Linked DNA regions of Tamandua tetradactyla. The protein of the gene in region 3 interacts with the protein of the main gene of each other region in a pairwise test. Links are inferred from orthologs where the notes say so. Each region holds a gene or a part of one and is shown on either strand. Other genes may lie near its edges. The genes, in order: GADD45A, CCDC172 and DCTN2.

Evidence for each region.
Region 1: the proteins of DCTN2 (region 3) and GADD45A interact in binary tests that used the Homo sapiens proteins (3 or more experiments, as listed by UniProt). The link is inferred for Tamandua tetradactyla from reciprocal best matches to the Homo sapiens genes DCTN2 and GADD45A.
Region 2: the proteins of DCTN2 (region 3) and CCDC172 interact in binary tests that used the Homo sapiens proteins (3 or more experiments, as listed by UniProt). The two-hybrid records come from large-scale screens. The link is inferred for Tamandua tetradactyla from reciprocal best matches to the Homo sapiens genes DCTN2 and CCDC172.

Annotation. Positions count from the first base shown.
Region 1 is NC_135337.1:58,292,498-58,300,462, reverse strand, and holds the start of GADD45A (growth arrest and DNA damage-inducible protein GADD45 alpha), read left to right. Parts: upstream 1-4,896; 5' UTR 4,897-5,110; coding exon 5,111-5,154; intron 5,155-5,673; coding exon 5,674-5,775; intron 5,776-6,006; coding exon 6,007-6,244; intron 6,245-7,274; coding exon 7,275-7,388; 3' UTR 7,389-7,965. UniProt on the Homo sapiens protein: In T-cells, functions as a regulator of p38 MAPKs by inhibiting p88 phosphorylation and activity.
Region 2 is NC_135339.1:78,370,065-78,378,249, forward strand, and holds the start of CCDC172 (coiled-coil domain-containing protein 172), read left to right. Parts: upstream 1-4,816; 5' UTR 4,817-4,982; intron 4,983-5,385; 5' UTR 5,386-5,451; coding exon 5,452-5,530; intron 5,531-5,745; coding exon 5,746-5,831; intron 5,832-8,185.
Region 3 is NC_135333.1:124,838,156-124,845,641, reverse strand, and holds the start of DCTN2 (dynactin subunit 2), read left to right. Parts: upstream 1-4,132; 5' UTR 4,133-4,274; coding exon 4,275-4,310; intron 4,311-5,136; coding exon 5,137-5,205; intron 5,206-6,719; coding exon of another isoform or gene 6,720-6,759; intron 6,760-7,486. Other genes in the region: KIF5A (kinesin heavy chain), read right to left, coding at 1,228-1,356. UniProt on the Homo sapiens protein: Part of the dynactin complex that activates the molecular motor dynein for ultra-processive transport along microtubules. In the dynactin soulder domain, binds the ACTR1A filament and acts as a molecular ruler to determine the length.

The DNA.
Region 1 (7,965 bases), on a different chromosome or scaffold from region 3:
CAAGAATGGAGTTGTCATTGACCCCTAGGAGGAAGAGATATAGGAGGACAATGAGGAGATCAACCTTTATCATGTTAAGTTTGAGATGTTTATAGTATATTGAGGCAGAGATGATGAGCTAGCTTTGAAGTCCAGAAGAGATGACTGGTCAGTTTGGAAATATATTTGAGTCATCAGCATATAAATATTTAAGGCCATGAGATGGATGAGGTCACCAAGAGAGTGAATGTAGAAAGAAGCGGTCCAAGGACTGAGCCCTGGGGTATTCCAACATAAGAGGTTAAGTAGAAAACTTTGTGAGAAACTAGATGGGTGAAAAGAATGATCTCTTCTATTTCAGAAACACAGAGCTCAGAAATCTGTTCAAGTTACCAGAATGAACTACCAATAGCCAATTACCAACTCAGACGACCTACCTTCCTCACCTATGATTAGCCCACTGGGCACAGAGACTCTCAGTAGAGTCTTAATATGACAGAAGGCTACTGGCACAAACTTCACTCAGCAGGGAGATGGGGAAATGGGGTGGAGGAAGAGCTCTAGAAAAATGTCATCACGAGTCACTTCATCTGACATCTCTAGTGGCCAGTCTCTGTTTGGTTGGTGAAATTTGAGCAGATGTTAGCAACACAAAATGGTTAGCAAAAAGCTCAAAGCCACACCGTGACTCCACTGATTCTAATACCTGAGAAGAATTTCTTAATGCATGAAGAGAATTTCCCTAGGGTAAAGATTTATTAAACACACAATAAGAAGGCATTAAAGTGATTGTATTAGTTTTGTTTTTGGTTTTTTTATTATTATTTTTTTTTATTTTTTTATTTTTTTTTGCATGGGCAGGCACCTGGAAATGAACCCTGGTCTCCGGCATGGCAGGTGAGACCTCTGCTTGCTGAGTCACCGTGGCCCACCCTGTATTAGGTTTTGATGCTGCCTAACAAATCACCACAAGTATAATAGCTTAAAACAACACCCCTTTGTTAACTCAGATTTTCTGCAGGTCAGAAGTCTGGGCATAGCTTACTTGGATTCTCACCTCAGGGTCTCACAGAGCTGAAATCGGTGTTGTCCTGGCTGCATTCTCATCTGGAGGATCGACTTGGGAAAGATTTCCTTCCACACTCCCTCAGGTTGTTGGCAACATTCATTTCCTTGCAGCAGTAGAATTCATAGCATTTTGCTTCTTCAAAGCCAGCAGTGAAGAGAGTCTCTGACGCTTGCAATCTCTCTTTAGGGAAGACCTAGATTCTCTTTTAAACAGCTAATCTGAATAGGTCAGGCTCACCCTGGATAATCTCCCTTTTGATGGACTGAAAGTCAATTTGTTAGGGGACTTAATTGCATCTGCAAAATCCTTTCACCTTTGCCAGAGAATGTAATATAATCATGGGAGTGGTGGCCCATCATCATTGCCATATTCTGTTGGGTCAAAGAAAGTCACAGGCCCTACCCATATTCACGGGGAGGAGATTATATAGAGTGTAACACCAGAGGGCAGAGATCATGGAGGTTACCATGGTGATGAGCCAAGAAACTAAAATATTATATGAAATTCAAAAGAAAGTATTGATCCTAAGACAAGATACCTCTTAAGTGACAGTAAATATGGTCTGAATGATCTTCTCCTGAGGAAAAAAAATGAGGGAAATTCATGGACCTGTCTTGAGAAGCTAGCTTCACCAGACTTATGCAAAACAATAGTAATAATAATGCCAGGAACCTTATGAGTTTTAACAATAAAACACAATATAATACAGTTCTCAGTAGCTGGTAGATTCATCTGTCATAGTCTAACTGGTCTTTTCCTTTAATTTGAATGAAGATCTGTCTAATAAAGAAATAACAAGCATCATATGTTTTTCAGATATTAAAAGACTTTTTTGAAAGAGAAAAAAGTTATAATTCTGTCTGTATAATGAGTAGTAGGAATGTATGTGTGACAAAAGTGAAGAAAAGAAAAAGACCTTTAATATGCAAAGCAGGTAGTAGTGATAAAATAATATAACAATTCTTGAATATTTATTTCCATCTGATTTCTAACTCTAACCATTTGGCAACCTTACAAAAATTACTACAAGGTCATTCTAGTTCTGTACAATTGAAATATTCAGGATTGCCTGTAGTATTTTTTCCAAATGACTTCACATATTGGAGTTATTACACTGATAATAAAAATATGTTCAGGTTCTATATGATCTAGATAATTCCTCTTCATTTGCCCTTGGATACCAACTCCCTTGAGGACTAAACAGCATTTATGAAATGTCACCTATGATCATTCTACTGTATAACTGCACTCTGTGTAGCTAAATGCAGTTTCTTCTTCCAGCCACGTGGACCAACTTTGAAGAGAGTCACTGGTGAAACACTCTAGGTAGACTCAGTAATGAGGCACAATGATGTAACATATCTGAGTCAGAAAGCATGACAAATGAATATTTTGAATACTGGAAGTCTGGGCTTATCTCACAGAGAAAAACCCCACTTGAACAAATAACTTTCCCATGAGACCAAATATAGCACAAAGTATAGTTTTCGAGTGAGGAACTTACCCTATATTAAAACTTGACCATTTTATGTGACTTTGGTTTTCTGTATATAGTCTGGATGGGGCATTATTACGGCTGGTAGGGCATTCAAACTGGTGTAAACAACACATGGGCTCTACTGTCCTACAGCTTCCATTCAGATGACTAAAGTCATGGGACTTTCAGCATAGTTAGCTGATGACAGTGCATATTATTTCATCCTAAAATTCAGTTTGAGCTTGCACATACCCATTAGATCATAAGCTCTTTAATGGCAAAGGACCAGGATTAGTACAGTTCTTGATGTATAATAGTAGATCCACAAAGTTTTTTGGAGCTAAAGTCAAATGTGGAATATTTTAGAAAGAGCACATGCAATGCACAATTCCAGAAGAATCCTGAGATCTTGTTCAACTCTCGGATGCCATTCAACTCATTAAACACTGACTGCATCTACTAAATGCAAGGTAATGTGCTGCATGATGGGGACACTAAGTCAGTGAAGTCACTGTCCCTGCTGTCAAGAAATTTACGATTCCCACATTCTTTCTCAGTTTGCTGTGACGACATTTCCTTCCAAAGAAACTCTATGGAATACCTGGTAGATAGCATCTTGGAATTCCACAGAGCACCTTTCCACAATCTCCAAATGGTGACTGAGGCCAGACTGTAATTCAGATTTTGTTTGCAAAACTGAAAGTGCCTCAACATCTACCTAAGTTTCAATCTTGAGGAATTCTTTAACAAATATACCACATTAGGATAAGGTATAGATATGAGATACATAAGCACTCTGGGAGAATTAAACATTGACCACCACATTCCTTTTACTTGAACATTGTCCCTTGTCGACGACGTGGTTACAGATTGATTGCAAAATTGCATTTCAAATAAACGAACCAGAACCTCAATCCATCACTTTTCTTTTCCATTAAATTAAGATCAAGAGAGCCATTGATCTTCAATTAAGATCAATCATATTTTGCCAAGAATGATACAAACATAAGGGCGCAAAATCTCCCGTGTACCTTTGCAAAACTTTTCTGTGACCTTTGGCTGTCATATATAAGTGACCTTAATAATGCAAGCACTGTTTTGAATGCAAGCACGTAGGAGGCATTTTCACCACTTTGGTTGACGTAGGTACGTTTAAGAAATGTTTTTGCATTTACTGCATAAAGCCATAAAACAAAGGATCAGATTTTTTACCTGTTCAGTGAAAGTCTATACATTAAAGTTCAGTTTTCAAAATGTGTACCTACTGCTTGCAGTTATGCATGTTTGCTTTCCACCCACAGGTTGCCATTCTCTTAAAGGTGGAATTTTTAACATCTGATTAGAACATCCTATAGCTTCGTGTTTCAGCATCTAATGTCAATAATTCACAATGAGAACATAGGCTCTCTGTGGAAGGCAGTGACATATTTACTTGCCTTATGAAAGGAAACAGGCATATGGAGAGCATTTGGAGTTTAGACTTGTGCTTTGTGTGGGTGGCAGACATTTGTCTCCTAGCTCCTGTGGATCAGGTGGACCCTCCTTTGGGAAAAGCTCTCCGGGAAAGGTGAATTTGGGTTATCTGACTGGGGTTTACACATATGGTCATCAGCTCCCCACGTGCACCAGTTCATGGTTTTCCAGAGCTACCCTGGGCAGGTGGGAAGACTGTTTTCTATGGAAAAGATTCCAACTTGGTTCCCTGCCACCACCAAACAGAATGTGTTGATTTTTCTTTTTTGAGCTTCCAAGCCTTGCAACCTTCCAAAAATAAATCAAACCAGCCATCAGGGCACCGAAATAATACTACTACTAATAAGCAGCTTTGCCCAGACAACACTTCTGAGGTAAACTTTGCCCCAGAGGTCTGGACACACTTTTTTTATGTAACCTGCTTACTAATAATTACTAGATTCAGGCGCATGAACTCTGAAAATAGATTTTAATAGCAACCCCTAAAAACAAAAGACATGAAACGAGAATTTTAAAAAAGTGCACCAACTAGAAAAACACTTGGCACTCTTCTCCAGCCCAAGGTGAAGACTCCGCCCTCCTCTCCAGATCGACCCCGCCCACGGGATAGGGGAGCAAGCCCAAGGCCCCGCCCCCGCCCCGGGCCCGCCTCCCGCAGGGCTCCTCCTCTTTTCACTTCTCCCAGCCTGGTTCCCGGAGCTGAGGTCAAATTGCCAGAGCAGGCTGATTTGCATAGTCCAATGGCTACGCTGTATGCAAATGACGCCGGAGATGGTTGGCTGGGGCTTGGCAGGATAACTCCGGTGAGCTGGACCCTTTGTCCTTCAGTGGCTGTGGGGCAGCTGCCGTAGTTGTGTTACGGAGCTTGGCTACCGGCACCGAGCGAGCCCGGCGGGAGGGGAGGGCGGCGCGGCGGCGGCGGCGGGCGCTGGAGGAGGAGCCCGGGCTGGCGGAGGCCGGCCTGGCTGAGTCCCGGCGGTCGGTGCGCGTGTGGGACCCGAGCCCGCTGCTGGGCAGCCTGTGAGGGGAGTGCAGAGAGAGCAGCAGCCTGCGCGCCTGCGGTGGCAGGAGCAGCCCGCACGCCGCTCTCTGGGGGGCCCTGCAGTTGCAATATGACTTTGGAGGAATTCTCGGCTGGAGAGCAGAAGATCGAAAGGTGAATAAGCCTGCGGGCTTTTCCGGCTGGCGGGGATAGACAGAGCTTCTTCCTGACCGGTCTTGCCCACCCCGCGCGCCCCAGTGCAGGAAGGCTGTGAAAGGTTTGCGGGGGAGCGAGCGGAAAAGTTTGCAGACGGCAGCTCCCGCCTTTTCTCCTCAGGAGAACCCCCCCCTCCCCGAGCCCCGCGGGCGTTAAGAGCGAGCCCCTTCCCACTACCCGGCCAAGCCCTTCCTGGCGCCTTTGCAAAGGGCAGAAGCTCCTGCCCCTGCCCTGCGGTTCCTGTGGCTGCGTCCTGCACCGGGGACTGACAGCTTCCTCTGGGGAGGGTGGCGGTGACACCCTCAGGGTCTTCCAGCGGACGTGGGAGCTGGCGGGACCGGGCTGGTGGCGGTGTGGGATGGACACCTGGGGTGCAGAGAGCATTTGGGAGGGGGCCTCGTGGTGCAGGGTGAGGGGCGGCGACGGCCCCCGAGGGACTTGGGCTGACAGCCTCCTTTGGACCTTGCTTGCGCTCAGGATGGATAAGGTGGGGGATGCCCTCGAGGAAGTGCTCAGCAAAGCCCTGAGTCAGCGCACCATCACCGTCGGGGTGTACGAGGCGGCCAAGCTGCTCAACGTGTAAGTGGGCCTCGGCGCGGTCCCTCGTGGTGGCCCTACCCGCCGCGGCCCGGGGAGGGCGCGCTCACGGGGCGCTGCCCGCTGCCGCTCTCTGCACCCGCCGCGGCCTGCCCCGAGGGGAGCGAACGCCCCGGGGTGCGACCCTTGGGAACCCGGGCACGACCCCAGGGGACCCGGGCACGGCCGGGCGGGTGCTGCCTGGGTGCTCACGGCCCCGCCCGCTGCCCGCAGCGACCCGGATAACGTGGTGCTGTGCCTGCTGGCGGCGGACGAGGACGACGACAGGGACGTGGCCCTGCAGATCCACTTCACCCTGATCCAGGCGTTCTGCTGTGAGAACGACATCAACATCCTGCGCGTCAGCAACCCGGGCCGGCTGGCCGAGCTCCTGCTGCTGGAGACCGGGACCGGCCCGACGGCCAGCGGGGGCGCCGAGCAGCCCCCCGACCTGCACTGCGTGCTCGTGACGGTGAGGGAGAGGAGGGGCACTTCCAGCCGACCTGGGTTAGGATCCTAGAAGGGCAGGGAGTCGCCTGACTGCAGATCTGGAATGGGGGGGGGGGGGGGCTGTCTTGGCCACCGCTCAAAGAGCGTGATCGGACTTTCGGCCTAGATGTGCTAGTTTCATCATCAGGATTTTCCCTGGGACAGAACATGTCTAAGCACGCTGGAAGCTGCCAGCAGCGGAAGAGGTCCCTGTGAGTCAGCACTGTCGGCTCAGCTACTCCCTACCTACAGCTGCACTACCTCCCGTGACTAATTCCTTTAACAGGGCAGATTAGATAAAGCCAAATAAATTCCTGGCTCACCCTCATTAAGGAGTCAGCTTCATTCTCTGCCAGTCAAAGCTAAAAATAGAGATGGTGTAGGAGACAGATCTTAGTAATTCCCTAGAAATACATGAAAAGGAGTGAGTGGAAATTTTTTTCTTTGCAATTTTGCATTTTTAAGGGTCTTTTAGTTCTGATTTTAAAAAATCTTCAGTAGGTTTAGGTTGGAACTTAAGTTTTTAGAGGTAAATATGATAATAATTATCTTTTAAATTTTGCTATTTTCTGACTGATCTAGTTGAGTGGCACACTGTTTTGCTACTCCTAAAGAACACTTTTTTGGAGGATAACAGGTGGCAATTCTATTAATTGGTGGGGAAGTATTTCTCGAAGTTATTTAATTCAGGTCTCTGCCAGGGTACAGTTTGCAGGGCAAACCTGTGAATGATAGTTCTCTTGCAAAATTGACTGAATGGTTTTATGTAAGCATATGCATGTGGCATATGGATTGCATGTGTGCGGGCTTTGCAGATGTAGTTTAATAGAGAATTACCCTGTATAATTTTGCAGGAAACCTGAAGAAATTTCAGTTTTTGCCCATCTAACTTGTCTCTGTTTTACTCAGCCAAGATAGAGAAGGTTTAAGCATCTTCCCCTTGAAAGTAGTTAAATTATTAGCAAATGCAGATTTTTTTAATAGTAAATTTATGTTTCTAAATTTGTTCCCAGAATCCACATTCATCACAATGGAAGGATCCTGCCTTAAGTCAGCTTATTTGTTTTTGCCGGGAAAGTCGCTACATGGATCAGTGGGTTCCAGTGATTAACCTCCCTGAGCGGTGATGGCATCTGAATGAAAATAACTGAACCAAATTGCACTGAAGTTTTGAAATACCTTTGTAGTTACTCAAGCAGTTACTCCTTACACTGATGCAAGGATTACAGAAACTGATGTCAAGGGGCTGAGTGAGTTTAACTACATGTTCTAGGGGACCGGAGATAGATGACTTTGCAGATGGAAAGAGGTGAAAATGAAGAAGGAAGCTGTGTTGAAACAGAAATCCAAGTCAAAAGGAACAAAAATTACAAAGAACCCTGCAGGAAGGAACACAAACTATGTATTAATTTGGATGGTCGAGTTACATTAAAATAAACCAAGTATGCTTTGTTAAAGTTTAAATGTGCAGAAGTAGTTTGAATATTTTTTGGTTTCTATGCCCTAAAATGAAAGAGAAGCAGAAAGGGTTCATCATATTTTAAAACCATATTTTATTGTATTTTGATGAGATGTTAAATTCTCAAAGTTTTATTATAAATTGTACTAAGTTATTTTATGACAGGAAAGGTTATTTATGCTATAAATTTTTTGAAACACGATGCCTACAATAAACTGGTATGGAATAATTGCATCATATCTTAC
Region 2 (8,185 bases), on a different chromosome or scaffold from region 3:
CCAGATTTCAAAGCCTTTGTCTTATTAGTCTTTGTAACCCGAACACAACTCAATGTACTTGCATTACAGATAGTGTATACTTAATAAATATTTATTGAATAAGCAAATGACTTATACATGGTGGAGAACAGTGGTTTCCACATTTTGTTTCGTTTAAGTTTTCTGGGCCTGATAGGCTAACCTCTTGGATAGGGCACCAGAGGCACCTTCCTGGACCTTCAGCTTGGGCTCTGAACTCTGAAAATGTGAACATCCCAGTCACGTGCTGCACTGTCGCTTTTCTCTACAAAATGTTTTAATATTTATTGACTCCTAGTATGTTAATGAAATTTCTTCATCCAATATATTTCATGAAGAAAGGCTGCTTTTCTCAATTAGTAATTAAGAATTGGCAGTTTACCTTTATTTATTTTTATATATATTTTTAGTTTATCTTTATTTTTATTATGGAAGTGTAAGTCTGTTGGAAAATAAAATTGATACCTTTAAGCACTTATTTTTTCATAAATGATTTTATCATGTATACATATATTGATATGTGTATGAATATGTAGGCATATATGTATGTACACGTGTGTACATACATAGGTATTGTAAGTATGTATGTGTGTCTATCTATTATCTACCTATACTCTATCTATCTACCAATCTCTTTCTAATATATCTCTCCTTAATTGGGTAAGTTCCCTACAGTAGATGAATTGCTCCAGGATAGCCCTGTCCCTTTTTTTAAATTCTTCTAGAAAGTTCAATATTAGAAACAAATAAAAGATGAGTTGCTTTAGTTTTAGTGTTTGAAAGCCACTGGTGAACAAAAAGATCTTTATTGGAACAGGAAGGAATTAGGAGGGGGTGCTAGACCCAGCTGTGATATTAACTGTTCTAGGGAATTCCATCAGCCTGCCTGGCCTCAATGTTAACATCTATAAAGTTGTATAAAATCCCTTAAATCATTAAAGAATTTTATTATAATAGATAATAAATCAAAGTGATTTAAAATTTTTTTAAATCATAACTTATTTTTACAACTTAAGGTTTAGGATCTTTTTACACAAATTTCACTTTTAGTTTCACATATTAGATATGTGACTAGGTAAGCAAGCATTTATAATAAGGTAGGACCTATTTGCAATTATTTTTCTTTAGATCACATTTGAGTTAAAATTTTTTAGCAGATGCAGTGCATTGATAATCCAAAGTCTATTAGTTTGAAAATGTCTTCAGAAATTATATTAATTTGTTGGTGAGAAGCATTTTTTAGGAAATATATCTTCCTTAAGAAATACAGTTGACAAAATAGTCTCATTTTTTTCTAGGCTTTGGATGTTAGAGGCAGTAAGGAGACATAGCTAAGGTTGTGCCTTCTGGAATGAGACTATTAGGGTTCAAATCCTGATTCTTCTACTTCCTAGTTACAGCATCTGACCTTAGGCCAGTTACTTAGCTCTCCCTGACTCTGCCCCAGCCTGTAAAGTGGAAATAATAAAAGCATCTATCTCACAGGGTTGCTGTGCAAACTAAATGAATTAATGCATGTCAAATTCTCAGACTGTGATTGGCACATAGTAAGCTACTCAATACATGTTAGCTGTTAGCTGTTAGGCTCTTCCTAACTCACTGTGTTTCTAACTAACTGCTAAGAATCGACTGCAGAAAGCAACACTGAAAGCAACACTGCTTGAAAACATAACCTGGTCCTCCATCATGAAAAAATCAACAGCCTCCAAATACTACCCTACCTAACTTTCTAATCTCCATTTATTGAACACCCACCCTCCTTAAAAATCCAGCTGATATATTTTTTTTTTTCCTAATGATAAATCTTCCCAGATCACCCTTGCCAGGCTTACTCTCTCCTCTGCCATATTTCTATAGCCCAAGAGTAAGGCTCTATTATACACAGCTACCTGGGAGTTACTGGTGTATGCAACGTTTGGTTTTATAGACTGTGACCTCCAGAAAGCTACCTGTATCTTTACTGATGTCACATCACCCATAGTATTTGAGATTTTTACACTTAGTAGATACTCAATAAATAGTCGTTAAACTTGCTGAATCCACGCATTATTCTTTTCTTTTTTTGGCAGATGCCCTAAGAGAAACATAAAATGAATGAATTATTTTTCTTCTTCCCATTGCAATATAGGAATTTTGCAAAGCCTGGTTTAGAACTTAGGGAAGTTATCAATCTAAGAAAGGGGAGGAAACGCATCTTAAATCACAAAAGCAATATAGCCTTACATAAGGCCTTCTAGCCAAACAATTATTGATTGCTCAAAAACCCAGGTGCTGGTGTTATTATGAACAAATGTCTGAGGTTTAAAGATAATGAGTGATCTTAACTTTTATATTCTATTGGTATGCAATCAATGAAACATGTACAGATGGAAAATTTATATCTGAGAATCATATGTAGGAATCATAATGCAAATAATTGGCTTTCTTTCTAAAGAACATCTGTTGAAACATCTGAAAGCAGTTGTTTATACTGTCGCTAAAATGCTGAAATATATAATAACTCTCCAATGAGGTTAGAAATATCCTAGGGAAGAAAAATACATTTTATGTAGTTGTGTTTTTATTAAATCTTGATATTGTTTCTCTAATATGGCACATAGGAGACGCTCACTAATATTTGTTAAGCAATAGGAGACGCTCACTAATATTTGTTAAGCAAATGTTGAATGAATAGCAGAAACTCATTAAACAGTTATTGAATGAATCATTTTCTTTTTTTTTTTAAGGCTTATAAGAGCGATACCTTTTCAGAAAATAGTATGCCCAAATTTTACCCCATCATGTACTATTTTTATTTGGCATACATTTAAGTAATGCTATAATCCTGCTTTGTCCATTATAGAATGTAATCAGCATGTATATCTACACGAAAAAAATCAACACTATAGAAAATGTATGAATAAAGCTAAACATGGGATAGTAACATTTTAGTATCTTATGTTACTTTTATTTTTTATTATGAAATGCTTAAAATTTGAATTGTGGGCTTGAATTTTCATTTCTGCTTCAGCAAAACAAAATTAAATTTAAAACCCTGCTGAATGTCCATAATTGTGGTACCTCTAAGAATACTCTAACTTAGGAAAAAAGCACCAAAATACTCTGGGATGCGAAGAAGATTACAGAAGATGAAGAAGGCATTTCCCCCCATATATCTTTTCCTGAATTACCAGCAGCTATCTCTTCCACACTCTTGTGTGAGTCAGGCAACCAGGCTCCTTAAAGGCTGCCCAAATTTCATTCTGCCAAGTTTCAATACAGAAAGAGCACGTTAAATAATAAATGTGAGTTTGAGTGTAACTAATAAAACTGGAATGTTAAATAGCAGTATGCTTTTGAAACCAGCCTCCTTGTGAGGATGCTCCCTGTGCTGGTCCACAGGAAATAATTCTGAAGGGAGTGATATTAATTAGTAATATAATTTATCTTCTGGGAAGTCATTTCCTTTGATGGCAGCTGCGGTACAGTTCATAAGCCTCCAAATGAGTGTTCAAAGAAAATGGTTCGAACCACAATTTCAGCTTTGTTTCCACCCTTAAGCAGATGAAAGAGTCACATTTATTTCTGTATATCTAAATTTTACACATGTAAGTATATGAGGAAGAATTATGAGGTTATTTAAATGTATTTATGATAAGTTTTCAGTGAAATGGTAAAAGACTTGTAGTGTAATGAGGGGAAAACGGAGCAGAAGCCAAAATGAAATTCATAGCCTCTGATCTCAGATTTCTAGGGTTCAGATCTCACACTGCTGTATTTTAGGTATGCAACCTTGAACAAGATACTTAACTGTTCTGTACGTCAGTTCTTTCAACTGTGCTACTAAGCTAATAATAAAATCCATCTCAAAAGGATGTAAAGTGTTCATAATAGTGCCTGGCAAATCATACATATTAATTATTGGTTTAACATCGCCATTATTATATATTCACAGTAACTGCAAGTTCGTATAAGGAAAAATGCAGGTCACCTGGAAGCCAAGAGACAAAATATCATTAATATTTGCTTCTGAATGGTGAGTTTATGGGCAACTCTTTTTCTGCTTCATTACACTCTTCGGTATGTCTCCTTTTACAATAAAGTTAAAAATTTTATGCACGCATGGCTTGATGGGAATAAAAGTGGAAACTTGGAATAGGTTAAAATTTATAATCAATTATATTATAGCTTTAATTAAATGTCAATTAACCCTACTGTATAGCTGGTGTGATCGAATTCACATTTACCATACTTTACTTAATTCCAAATACATTCTAACTCGAAAATACTTTGTAAAGTTTAACCAATTTCAATCTAACACTCAGAAACGAAGTAAAATGTTTACTATAATCTCAATATTTTGACCTACTAAAACTAAAAATACTTAATTTTTTTATTTTAAAAATCCCATGCAAAAATCCCAAAGGTGCCTTTCATGTGTAAGCTTTAATTAGCAACCACTTTGGTCTCTGACACATATTGCGCAGATATTGAAGTGTTAATATTACTGCAGCTTGATTACAAAAGGCAATGATTACTTGTAAAGCAGACAAAAAAGATATGCCCTGATTACAAAGGAATGATTAAGGCGGAACGTCAGACACAGCACATTTATAGCAGTCTTAGCCATATAATGGATAAGACTTTGCAAAAGTCTATATTTAGAATCACCAGTACTGTGCACTTTATAATATTGGGTGTTTGTGCCATGCAAACAGATCCCCTGAACTCAAAATCAGGCCTAAGACCCTTGGAGACCGCATGACCCACAGCAAACCGCACGACTGCAGAATGGGCCCAACTGGCCGCCGTAGTCGAAGTTCTCACCGGGCAAGGCCCGACCTGAGGCACTAAATGAAGCCTGAGGCGAAGGTTTCCGCCAGCCTGTGCTGGTGGACGATAACACGTTTTGCTGAAAGAGAAAGCTGAGAGGAAAGCCTGACCCTAAAAAGGGTTGCTGCCCAGACTGGGAAGCCAAGGCCCAGGTCTCCATTTTTATTTGCCTCTGTGACAAAAGCAAAACCTAGACTGAGGGGACCAGGCCTCGCCCGAGGGGAGCTGCCGTCCGCCTAGGACGATGGCAGGGTTTGAAAGGCGCAGGAGAGAAAAAGCCGGATCAGTGAATTGTAATATGTGAAACAGAGGCAGAGGGAGCGGGCTGTGAGGCGCTCCGAGCGGGTGGCGCAGACCAGGCCCGGACGTCGCGCGGGAAGGGACGGCGGGTGGGCGGCGCGTGGTCGGCGCCTCCCCACGGGACTGCCCCTGCGCGTCCCCGCGGCCCCGCCGGCGTCCCCAGTGACCCCTCGCGGCCTTGACCCTCGGGGCTCCGGGCTGGGTGTCGGGAGGGGTGAGTTGGAGGCCGATCTCCTTTAACGTGCTGCTTTCCAGGGTCCTCAGACTTGGTTATCAAATATTTAACGTCGAGAAGGGGCTCCTCAGGAGCCTGGGCCGGAGATGAGTTTAGAGACGTTGTTTCAGCACATCCTCTTCACGGAGCACCAGGCTGAGGAGAGTCGCCGCTTGATGCGAGAAGGTCGGGCTTTTCTGGCGTTTTGCGGGGGACCGTTTGTCTTCCCGAGTTGGGTGCTTGGAGAAGAAAGAATTCCCGAAAGCGCTGGTCAGCAGAGCAGTTAGGGGAGTTTGCTTTCCACGTTGAGGGAGAGAAAGCTGAAAGGTGTCTTTCCAAATGCTACAGAAATGGGAATCTGAGAAATATGTATGTTTGTAAGGATTTAATTTGTATTACAGTGAGGTCGGAAATAAACAGATGTCGTGAAAAAATTAAGGAAGCAACAGAGCAGCTGAATGAAGAGAAAATCAAGTTGGAATCTAAGGTATTGCTGTGTAGAGCATGATAATCAGCATTTGAAAAAAGCCTGGTGCAACTTGACTTTTTGAGGGTATTTCCCTGATGAACTAGTTTTCCTTCAAATAGGAAGCACGCTCTTCTATCATGTTGCCTGGTGATATTTAAAGTTCTGATTCCAGTGAAGTAGTTAGTTCTAATATGAGCTTGTCCTAAAGAAACCAGTTCAGTTAATGAAGAACTCATTTCCATTTGGGGGAATGGTTAACATCTTAAAAGTGTACAGTGTCACTGGAAATTAATTGTTGAATAAGTAGATGATGCAGTATATACATTTTGAATAATAAAGTGTGCTATTTTGATGTAAGTATTAAATGTAACTTTCAAATGAGTGTATGTCTTTTGTTTTTTAATTCTCGACCACTTTTGGACATGTCTTTTCACCCAAAAGTATAACTTTTTGACTAGCATTTTTCCCTTTGTAAAATTGTCTTATTTGAAATCGAGGCAGGAGAACCTGGTGGCAGAGGTTGAAAGCAGAGGGTTGATATCTCGGAGTAGGCATTTGACTTTGCATTTTATTGACCAGTTTATCAAGTGGAGACAGCATAAGGAGAGACGTGAAATTAATCTGAATAGGGCAATAATTAAGATATTTGTTTTTTGATCCGGGTGATAAAAGCAGTTTTAGGGAGGTCACTCTGAACTCTGATCTGGAGGATAGAAGCAGGACATTTAGTTAGGAAGCTAAGGCTTTCGTTTAAGTATTTCACAATGAGGGCCTGGCTGTGGGTGGAACAGACTGCCATACAAAAATATTTATTCAGCGTGCAGCGGGGGAGTCTATTTGAGGAAGTTTATTTGCTTTAAATAGAAATGTCTACCTCTGTGAGGAATTTCCATTTTTCTGTGTGAATAAAATAATCATATAACCCTTCTACCAACTAGTAAATTTCTGCTCTTCAAATCTTTCTTAAATGTCACCTGTGGAGTTCTCCCATAGACATGTTGGAAAAATGTTTTTAATATAGCAGTCTGTACATTACCTTGCAATTAAACAACAATACATACTTATGTTTGTGTCATATCCCTTGCTATTTTGTAACATCGGGAATTATTTTTCTTACTCATCTTTTTTTGCTCTCACTTACCTGTATCCGAAGCCTAGCATGTAGTGTGCATTAATGTTTTGAGTGAATAAATTTATCACCAATATTTGTGATAATAGGGATAATACTGTTTTTTAAAATAGAATTTGGCACTATTCAGTGAGATCATTCTCCCGTTTTATTTTGAATAGCAAATAAACTAGCTACTACCAACAATGCTAAAAGCTGGTGGGCTGGGCAAAGTATTAAAGAATGCCATGATATAGATGTCTTTTTCTTTGAGAAGAATTAAGTTGCTTTCAGGTTTGATAACTAGAACGTAATAGAAGTAGTAGGTGACACATATACGATTAGAATTAGGTAATGCATAGCTAACATTTATTGAGCACTTGTGTGCTGGGCACTCCCCTAAAAGCTCCACCTGCATTAGCTCCTTTAATTCTGACAGTAATCCTGTGATGAGGTATGTCATTAACCCTACTTTATTGGTGAGAGAACTGAGAAACAGAATTTCAATGGCTTGCCCATGAGATATAATTTGAAAACAATGAAATTATCCTAAAGTAAGTAACAATTGAACAGTGACGGATATTTTAGTAAAACAAATTTCTTGAGCTCATCTTAAAGTTTATTCTTCATGATATTCACATATAATAATGTATCTGAAGCTTTAGAATCTAGTCTAGGGCAATATTTTTAAAAGGTCACCTATATAAGTTTCTCTACAAAATGGATTTTTCTCTGATTGATGAAGATATTGACCTGACAGATTACAAATAATGAAAAAAAAGGTTTACTCCATTTTATTTTCTTTGTAGGAGCCTATTTGCCTGAAAATGGAAATGTAATTAGTTGATATATACATATACATAAAAATGTCAATTCAGACATTTGTGCTAGAGAGATGAGAAAGCAAATCCCTATGCTGTTTAGAAACATAAAATTGCTAATTAATATAGGCTCATAAATGCGCTGCTTTTTAATCAGCTTATGTATGTGGGTAATAATACAATTGTATCTTACTAATAAAATTAATACATGAGGTCCACATTTCATACAATTCTAATTCGTAATTGAGATATTTGATTTATTATAGTCAAAATTGTTTGTATATCTGTGTGTGTTTAAAGATTTTAAAGGTGTCACCACAATTATAATGTAAATGACTAATAGGAAGAACTAAAGAAGTAATCATATATTGATTTCTTATTTCTTTTATCATAAGAGTTCATTATATGTCTGCCAATATCAGTGAAAATGTATTTACTTGAAT
Region 3 (7,486 bases):
GAAGATTGGGGTCTACCCTCAGATGTGCCACTCCCTTCACTAAAAGGGCAACCATTTCCTGGCCTAGCACTCTTCAAGACCATAGGACTCAACCCCCAGGTCCTTTCACCCGACAGCCTGATGGTGCCTACTAATCTAGGAAAGGTGGAATGAGTGAGGCCTAGGAATTCCCTATGGGCCATAGCAGATAAAGGTCCCGAACAGAAATCTGGGGAGACAGTGTGATGTCGAGAAAAAAAAACATGAGTTTTTGAGTTACAGATTTGGATTCAGATCCATAACTGTGTGACCTTGAGAAAGTCATTAAACTTCTTTGGGTCTCAATTTCCTCATCTATAAAATGGAAATCTCAATACTTACTTCAGAGCGATGTTTTGAGGATTTAATATGTAGAACAACAAACACACAATAAATATTAGTTCTCTTAATAAGATCTCCTGCATGGGAAGGGGCTGTCACAATGAGGTAACAATGGCTTGCTACTTCTTACTGGAGCATCAACAGAAAGGGTGAATAAGCAAGTATTTATTAGGATTTCAGCGTTCTGGCATTTTTACTTTTTGGAGGGGTAGGATAGGAGGGGTTTGAAATCCACTTACCACTGTACCTGGGACGGATAGATAGACATTTCCTTAGGACCCCAGGGGTTCCCCCCAAATCGGGTGTGGCATTAAAGTATTCCTTTCCCAGAAAACCCTTCACTAGACCTGAACCCTCCCCCGCTCCCAAGTCCAGGCTAATTAGTTTGGGGGATGATGGAGGGCTTGATTCTGGAGCCCACTCCCATTCATACCTCTGCACAGACCCTGGGCTGCCCACTTCGCTTCTAGCCCATCCACTAGCCTTCCCCCTCCTTTCCTGGGAGGCTGGGGTAGAGATCGGAACCAATAACAAAGGGAAGACAGGCCTTCTCTAGGGGAAATGGAAAACATCAGAAAAACACCGGACTACCTTTCAGGGATGCGGACTCAGCAAAGAGGAGTGGAGTCCCCAGATCTCTGGGAAGTAGCCCCCTCCCACTCTGCGGAGACTTGGCCACCGGCCTGGGCAGGCCACACCCAGCCATCCAGATGCAGGGGAGAGGAGGGACTGCGGCGAGGAGGATGGAGGGTGGAAGATGAGCGGTGGGGAGGGGGCGCAGAGAGACAGGTAGGGAGCAAGGCTCCGCAGTGGGAAGATTCAGCTTCTCGCCCCCTCCCCGAAATCCCTTCTGGGGGCGGCACTCACCCCAATAACGACGCTGTCGTCCCCTTGAAAAATAGGGATGAACTTGTCCCCCCGCAGAACCTCGGCTTGGTTTAGGGGCCGAAATCGGCAGAGCACCTTGATGCTACACTCGTTGTTTGTCTCCGCCATAGTGGTCCCCGGCGTGGGGCTGGGGCACTTCTTGGGCTGCAGGGGTGGTAAGTGCTCTGAAGGAGGGAGACGCCCAGCTGAGGCCGAGGCGGAGGACAGATGCTCGGTCTCTGGGGCCGAGAAGGATGTGGGGTCGCAGGGGCAAAGGCTAGGGAGCAGGATGGGGCGCGCTTCCTCTCTGCTGCGGCACTGGGATGCGGGAGATCTGCGCGTCTGGTCCTCTCCCGGCGCTCTGCCTCTCCGCCCCTCGCGCTGCAGCGCCTCGCTGCGGGCCTGGGCGGGGCCGCGACGGAGGCGCGGGGGCGGGGCTTCCTCCGCGGGGGGGCGAGCCGCGGGACGCCGACCCCCGAGCGGTGTGATCCTTCCGGTCTTCTCGCTTCCTCCCGGCCACCCCCACCGCCGGACGCTCGGAGAGAACCTTGCCCTCACCCCCTCCCCAACCAATTCACTCCCTGCATCCCACTCCCTCGACCAGTTTGTCCCTCTGTAGGACTCCGCCCCCTGGAAGGGAATAAGAAATCGGAGGTGGGCCTATTCTAGGGAATAGTGTCAACAAGGTTTCCGTCCCCCTTTTTTCCCGGGGCATCCCCCACCTCCTTCACAATCTTCTGTCCTAATTGGGAGCACATTTCTTATTCCTCTATCACCCCCACCAAGCACAGGCGCCGGACTCCTTATCCACTCACCTCCAAGGGCAGCTGCTTTACCGGGAGGGAGGGTGGGACTCCAGGTCCCCTTCTTGGGGGAGAGGAGTGAGAGAAGGGTCTGGCTACTTCTCTCCCCTTCTACACCAAGGGCTGTACTCTATTCTCCCCCCAACCTATATACCAGTTTGAGGGGCAACAAACTCCCATTCTAGGCTTTCAGAATCTAAAAGCCAGTGAAATCCTCATTTCTGCTTCCTAGGTTCAGGTTGGCATGGAAGTGGGTAGGAGTAACTTTTTTAAGAGTCAGAAAGTGCTGAAGGAGAAGTGGTGATGGGCTAGGTGAGACCAGAGGGGCTTGGAAGAGGTTTTCTAGGAGGGATTTCTGCATTCCAGTTTCAAGCAGGTTTAGCACCCTACCTGAGTATGTTTCCTGTCTCAGATACAATTGGACAGAATCTATACACAGCAGTTCCCTTCTCAGGTCTTTCTTCTCTGGTTCTTCCCCTTCCCTAGCAAAAGCCAAACCCAGAGATTGCTTGTCCTTCCTTCATGCAGGGGCTGCAGCCCCTGGACAGAAACATTCAGAAGCTGGCCAAATTGATTTTCTTCCCGTCATAGGCCTCTGCTGACCAACAGGGAGTTGGACTGCAGGTTGAGGCTCTAGGTCAAGGGGAGGAAGGGCAGAATGATGAGAGAAGGGAGGAAGGGATGGAAATTCTGCCCAACAGCTGTCTGGAAAATGTCTGACGTCATTTAGACACTATGGGGCAAGGGTTAGTGGCTGTTGGCCTGACCAGACAAGACACAACCACTCATCTGGGGGAAGGGGCCCTACACATTGGGCCTACACCTTGATCCCAACGTGCATCTTAAAGGAACTGAATGAAAAGGATCCAGCATAAGGAACTGGATGAGAAGGCAGTCTCTATGGAGAAAGAGAGACAGAAGTTTGGGGAGAAGCCAGGAGAGTATGGCTAGAATGACAATGAGTTCCAACTCAGGAAAATAGACTTCTCTCCAGTCACTTGGTCTGGCACTATTTCTAAGTGTTGCAGCATCCTGCAAACTCAGGAAACATCCTAACCTTAGGCTCCCATGGGCTCCAGGGTGGCATCCTTAGTTAAGTAGTTGCAAAATGCCAGAACATGGAAAGTCACTGGGTAGAGACAAAAACCCACTGGGTATACCCCCTCTCTCCAAAAAAAAGCCAACGGGTGTATTTTTCATAAAGTTGGATTTATTAAGTTTAAAAGATTGTCCTTTATTCTGAAAGTCTGTCCTTCCTACTTTTCTACTAATTAATGACAGTGATAATACATAGGTTTTCATTTTCGTTGTACTTACTTGGCAAAATAAAAATGTAGCTATGTTATTTCTATCTTCACAAGATATTTCTATCTTGGTATTGTTGTTGTTTTAGTTTCATTAAGCCATGAAATCCCAAAGTCTGGGAACTATTAGCCAAGTGGTTAGAAGAACAGAGACTGACTGGTCTGCCAACCATTGAGCTACCACTTACCTATTGTGTGAATTTGAGATAGCACATTGCCAGATTAGGAAGAAAAAAAGAGAGGACGCCCAGTTAAATTTAAATTTCATATAAAGAATAATTGTGTATGTTTCAAATATGGCATGGGACATACACTAAAAAAATTGTTTATATGGAATTCACATTTAACTAAGTTCCCTGTACTTTATCCGACAGCTCTAACTTGAGAAGAGTATGTAACTTTTCCATTCCTAATAGACCCTAAGCGTTTTCAAAATTTTACTTTTTATTGTTGTTTCTGAAATCTTTGGCCGTACTGCAGCAGGACTTGCTGTGTGATTTTATCTAGTCACTTATTTTCTGTGAGTTCCAATATATACAACGGATAACTTTCACAGACTTGATGTAAACATGAAAGGAAATAAGTTCTGTGAAATAATTCCCTAAGGTGCATTACTGTCGTACCCTGCCCGAGCCCCGGCCTACCGAGACTACAAAACCCACAATCCTAGGCGGCGACCCCACCCCCACCCCCGCCATTACCTCATTCTCTGGTCTTGTCCTCGCCAATCACCGCCCCGTCAGGGGTGTGGTAGTGGGCTGTTCTCGCGACTGTTGCTTTACCCTTCTCCCTGTGTTGCTACTGTCGCGAGACTTCCGACTGCTCCGCCGCTCCCTTTGCTTCCGCTTTAGCCTGGGACCGGCCTCAACCTCTTCCCTACCCGAACGTCAGCCCCGGCTCCTCCGAGGCCCCGGTCCCCCAACCCCGCCTCGCCGCCTCCATGGCGGACCCTAAATACGCCGACCTTCCCGGCATTGTGAGTACAGGGGCCGGCCCCGGCTCCCCACCAACGCGCCCGCGACTTACCAAGGATCCCCAACAGATACCAACCCGCGACCCCTCCCCCCTGCAGCCCCTCCTCCGCTCCAAGGGCGCTTGCTGCTCCCTTCCCGACGGGCCACAGCACCTTCCCAACGACTCCGACCCGACTGGGCCAGGCTGTCGGCCGGCGCAGCAGGCCCACTTTCCGGCAGTTGCCGGTTACCCGGCCCCGGAATGCACCGGGTGTTTTCCACTTGTGCCCTACCTAGTGTTTCCATCAGCCGTGTTAACACCGCCCGTGCTGTCCCAGATCCCTCCATAAGCTCTCCTCCCAGAACCCCAGACGCACAGGTCACTTGATAATGGCCTTACCCGACCAAGGAAAAGGGTAGGGTGATAGAACCATTCTTGTGCCAGATGTGGAACTCTGCACTACGGGAACTTGTCCCCCGATGCACATGCCGGCATGTACCACTCTGCTTGTGTTGTTGCCCTCCCTGTATCCTCGGGATGGGAGTTGTGCTACGGTAGTGGTGTACAGGGCCTAATTTGAGAATAGCCCTCACCTTCTTCTGACATAATGAGTGCAAAGATTTGCCCCCCTCCAAATTCTGGATAGTATTTTTCTCATCACTAACGCTCACCATTTACTGTCAGGCCCAGATATCTTTACTGTCATCCCCACTCCTCTAAAACATGGGGAACTGACTTGTTCTGGGCAGGCAGAGGTGAAAGGACAGAATCTCAGCATCACACTATGCTTTCTTTGTTAGTTTGGATGCTGGGTAGTGTGGTTGGGTGATCACTGCTTCTACCTGCAGGCCAGGAACGAGCCAGATGTTTATGAAACCAGCGACCTACCTGAGGATGATCAAGCAGAGTTTGATGCGGTAAGACTGTGTGCTGCCTCAGGACCCCTCTGGGCTCTGACCTATCTTCCCCAGGCAGGCTTTCTCCTTTCTCTGGCCAGCAGTAAGCGGGTATGCCAACCCCAGCCTAGCTGTTATGTAGGTTGCAGGGCTTGCAGAGGCCTCTCAGCCAACAAAGAGCAGTGCCATGAAGGAGAGTTACATCTGAGGAATTACAACCAGGAAGACTTGCTGGGAAAGCCCTTATCCTTACGCCTTTTTAATAAAATTGGAGTATCTCAAATCAGTTAGGTTTGGGGCTAAAGACTTAATTAGGCCCCTGGGTTCTAGTCCGTGGTAATGAATCGCGAAGCCTGAGCACTTGTAAACTGCCTGATAAGGGACAAGGCCTTCCCTTTCATAAAATATTTCACTCAATACATGTTCATTAATATCATACTGAGAGCTAGGCTTTGAAGTATAAATGAAAGCTTTTTTATATGAATATACACTATCCAGTGGACAAGGAGGAAGAAAAAGATGTGGAAAATTTAAAAGGTAAGGAACCTGGTCAGAGCAAAGTAAATTTGAGGGCAAATATAAACTTTTCATATCAGCAGAGGAGAGACCGTGGTATCACTTTCAGGTCTAAGAAGAAATCTAGATTGAGGAGGAAGGAATTAGCTATAGACATACTTTAATCAGGAGGGCAACGACTTAGCATTGTTTATTTAATGTGTTCATTCTGTGTTGATTTTTGTGCAATGCGGAGAAAGGAAGAAATGTCCCTGACCTTAGGGAGCGCCAGACTAACGCAGGAGTTAGGATATATGCAGGAAACGTGAGAAAATAAAATTGAGTGAATAAAAATCAACATAGGAGAAGTTCTGTATGAAGTGCCCAGGGGAGCAGAGATAGGTTAGCACATCTTATAGGATGTGTTTTAGGCTCTGTTATTTCTAAAGCGAGCTGGGCTGGGGTTGCATTGGTGGTATCAGAGTGAAGGTGTGACTACTAGTCAGCAGGATCGGGCTCATCGTATCTGACTGTGAGTGCTGTGGCTCTGTCTGTGGGGCTGGTTTGTTTAGGGAAATGCTGACCGCTGGCTTACGTATGGCTTGGCATACTCACTTATTCCTTATTTGATTCCTCCATGTGGAAATAGCTTCTGCCTTCCTTCCTTTTAGGGAACACCTTCACTGTCCCCTCAGTGGTGTGTTCCTTGTGGCTTCTGTACCTGCTGTCATGTTAGTATGTCACCCAAGCTTGAGTATCTGGAGATCAGTGCAGAATTGTGTAAGGACCTGAGTGTTCACCTGTGACTCCAAGAGGTGTCTTAGTAGGCAGCAGCCTCTGGCCTCACAGAGTAGGGATGTGGATGCTGAGGGCTTCACTGTACTGCCACAGTGTAGAGACTGTTCAGCTCTGCCAAAAAGATATCAAGCTTTTATGGTGAGATAATAAATGGAACTTTATCACTAACTGATACAAATGAGTAGTATCATAGCTGTCCCTTTTCCAAACAGAAAAAATACCTTGTCATTTTCCTTTTGAAGGAACTGGGAGATAATAAGAAGACGAGGACATCCATTTCAGGCATGGAAGAAGCTGAAAATGCAGCTCTGATTGGCTGTTTCACCCCGCTGAGCCTGAGCAGCCCATTTTAGTAGCATCTGGAGGAGGGGTGGCAGGGTGGGGGTGGGGGTTGATGGGGAAGGATACCATGAGTGTTCATTTCCTGAGGCACATTGCCCAGGATGCCATTTAACAGCGTTTAGGAGCTTAATGGTGAATAGCCAAGTTGCCTCCACCACCTAAGGCTCAGTTAAGTGGCTCTCCATCACTAGGGAGGAGTGAATAGGGTGGGGAGACCTTCCACTGCCTCAGGAGCCTGTGTGGCTGAGATGTTTCCTGATGTCAGCTAATATTTGGCCCTTGCATGTCCCTGTGGGCCTTAGGAGGGCAGCTTTCCAGAAGTCAGCTGAGTAATGGCCTTTCTGCTGCTCTTAATACTAATGTAAATGTGCAACTTGAGGAGCAGTGGGTTGTGCTTTGATAGTCCAGGAATCTTCTGTCTGTGAGGCTTGGATTCTCAGTAGCAGTCTGTCCCTCACATCTACTCCCCAAACCTTGCAGAAGTGACAGTTACATATCACCACTGTTGTGGCTGAACCATAAGGTTTTGAGTCATCTCCTAACCCCTGGCAACAGATTTTTCTGCCTTAGTCTCCAGATTATCTTCAACTTTAATTTTAAAAAAGCAGATAATACCTACACATAGAACAAAAGACTCAGGACTATAGAGTGAAAAATCTGTTTCTCA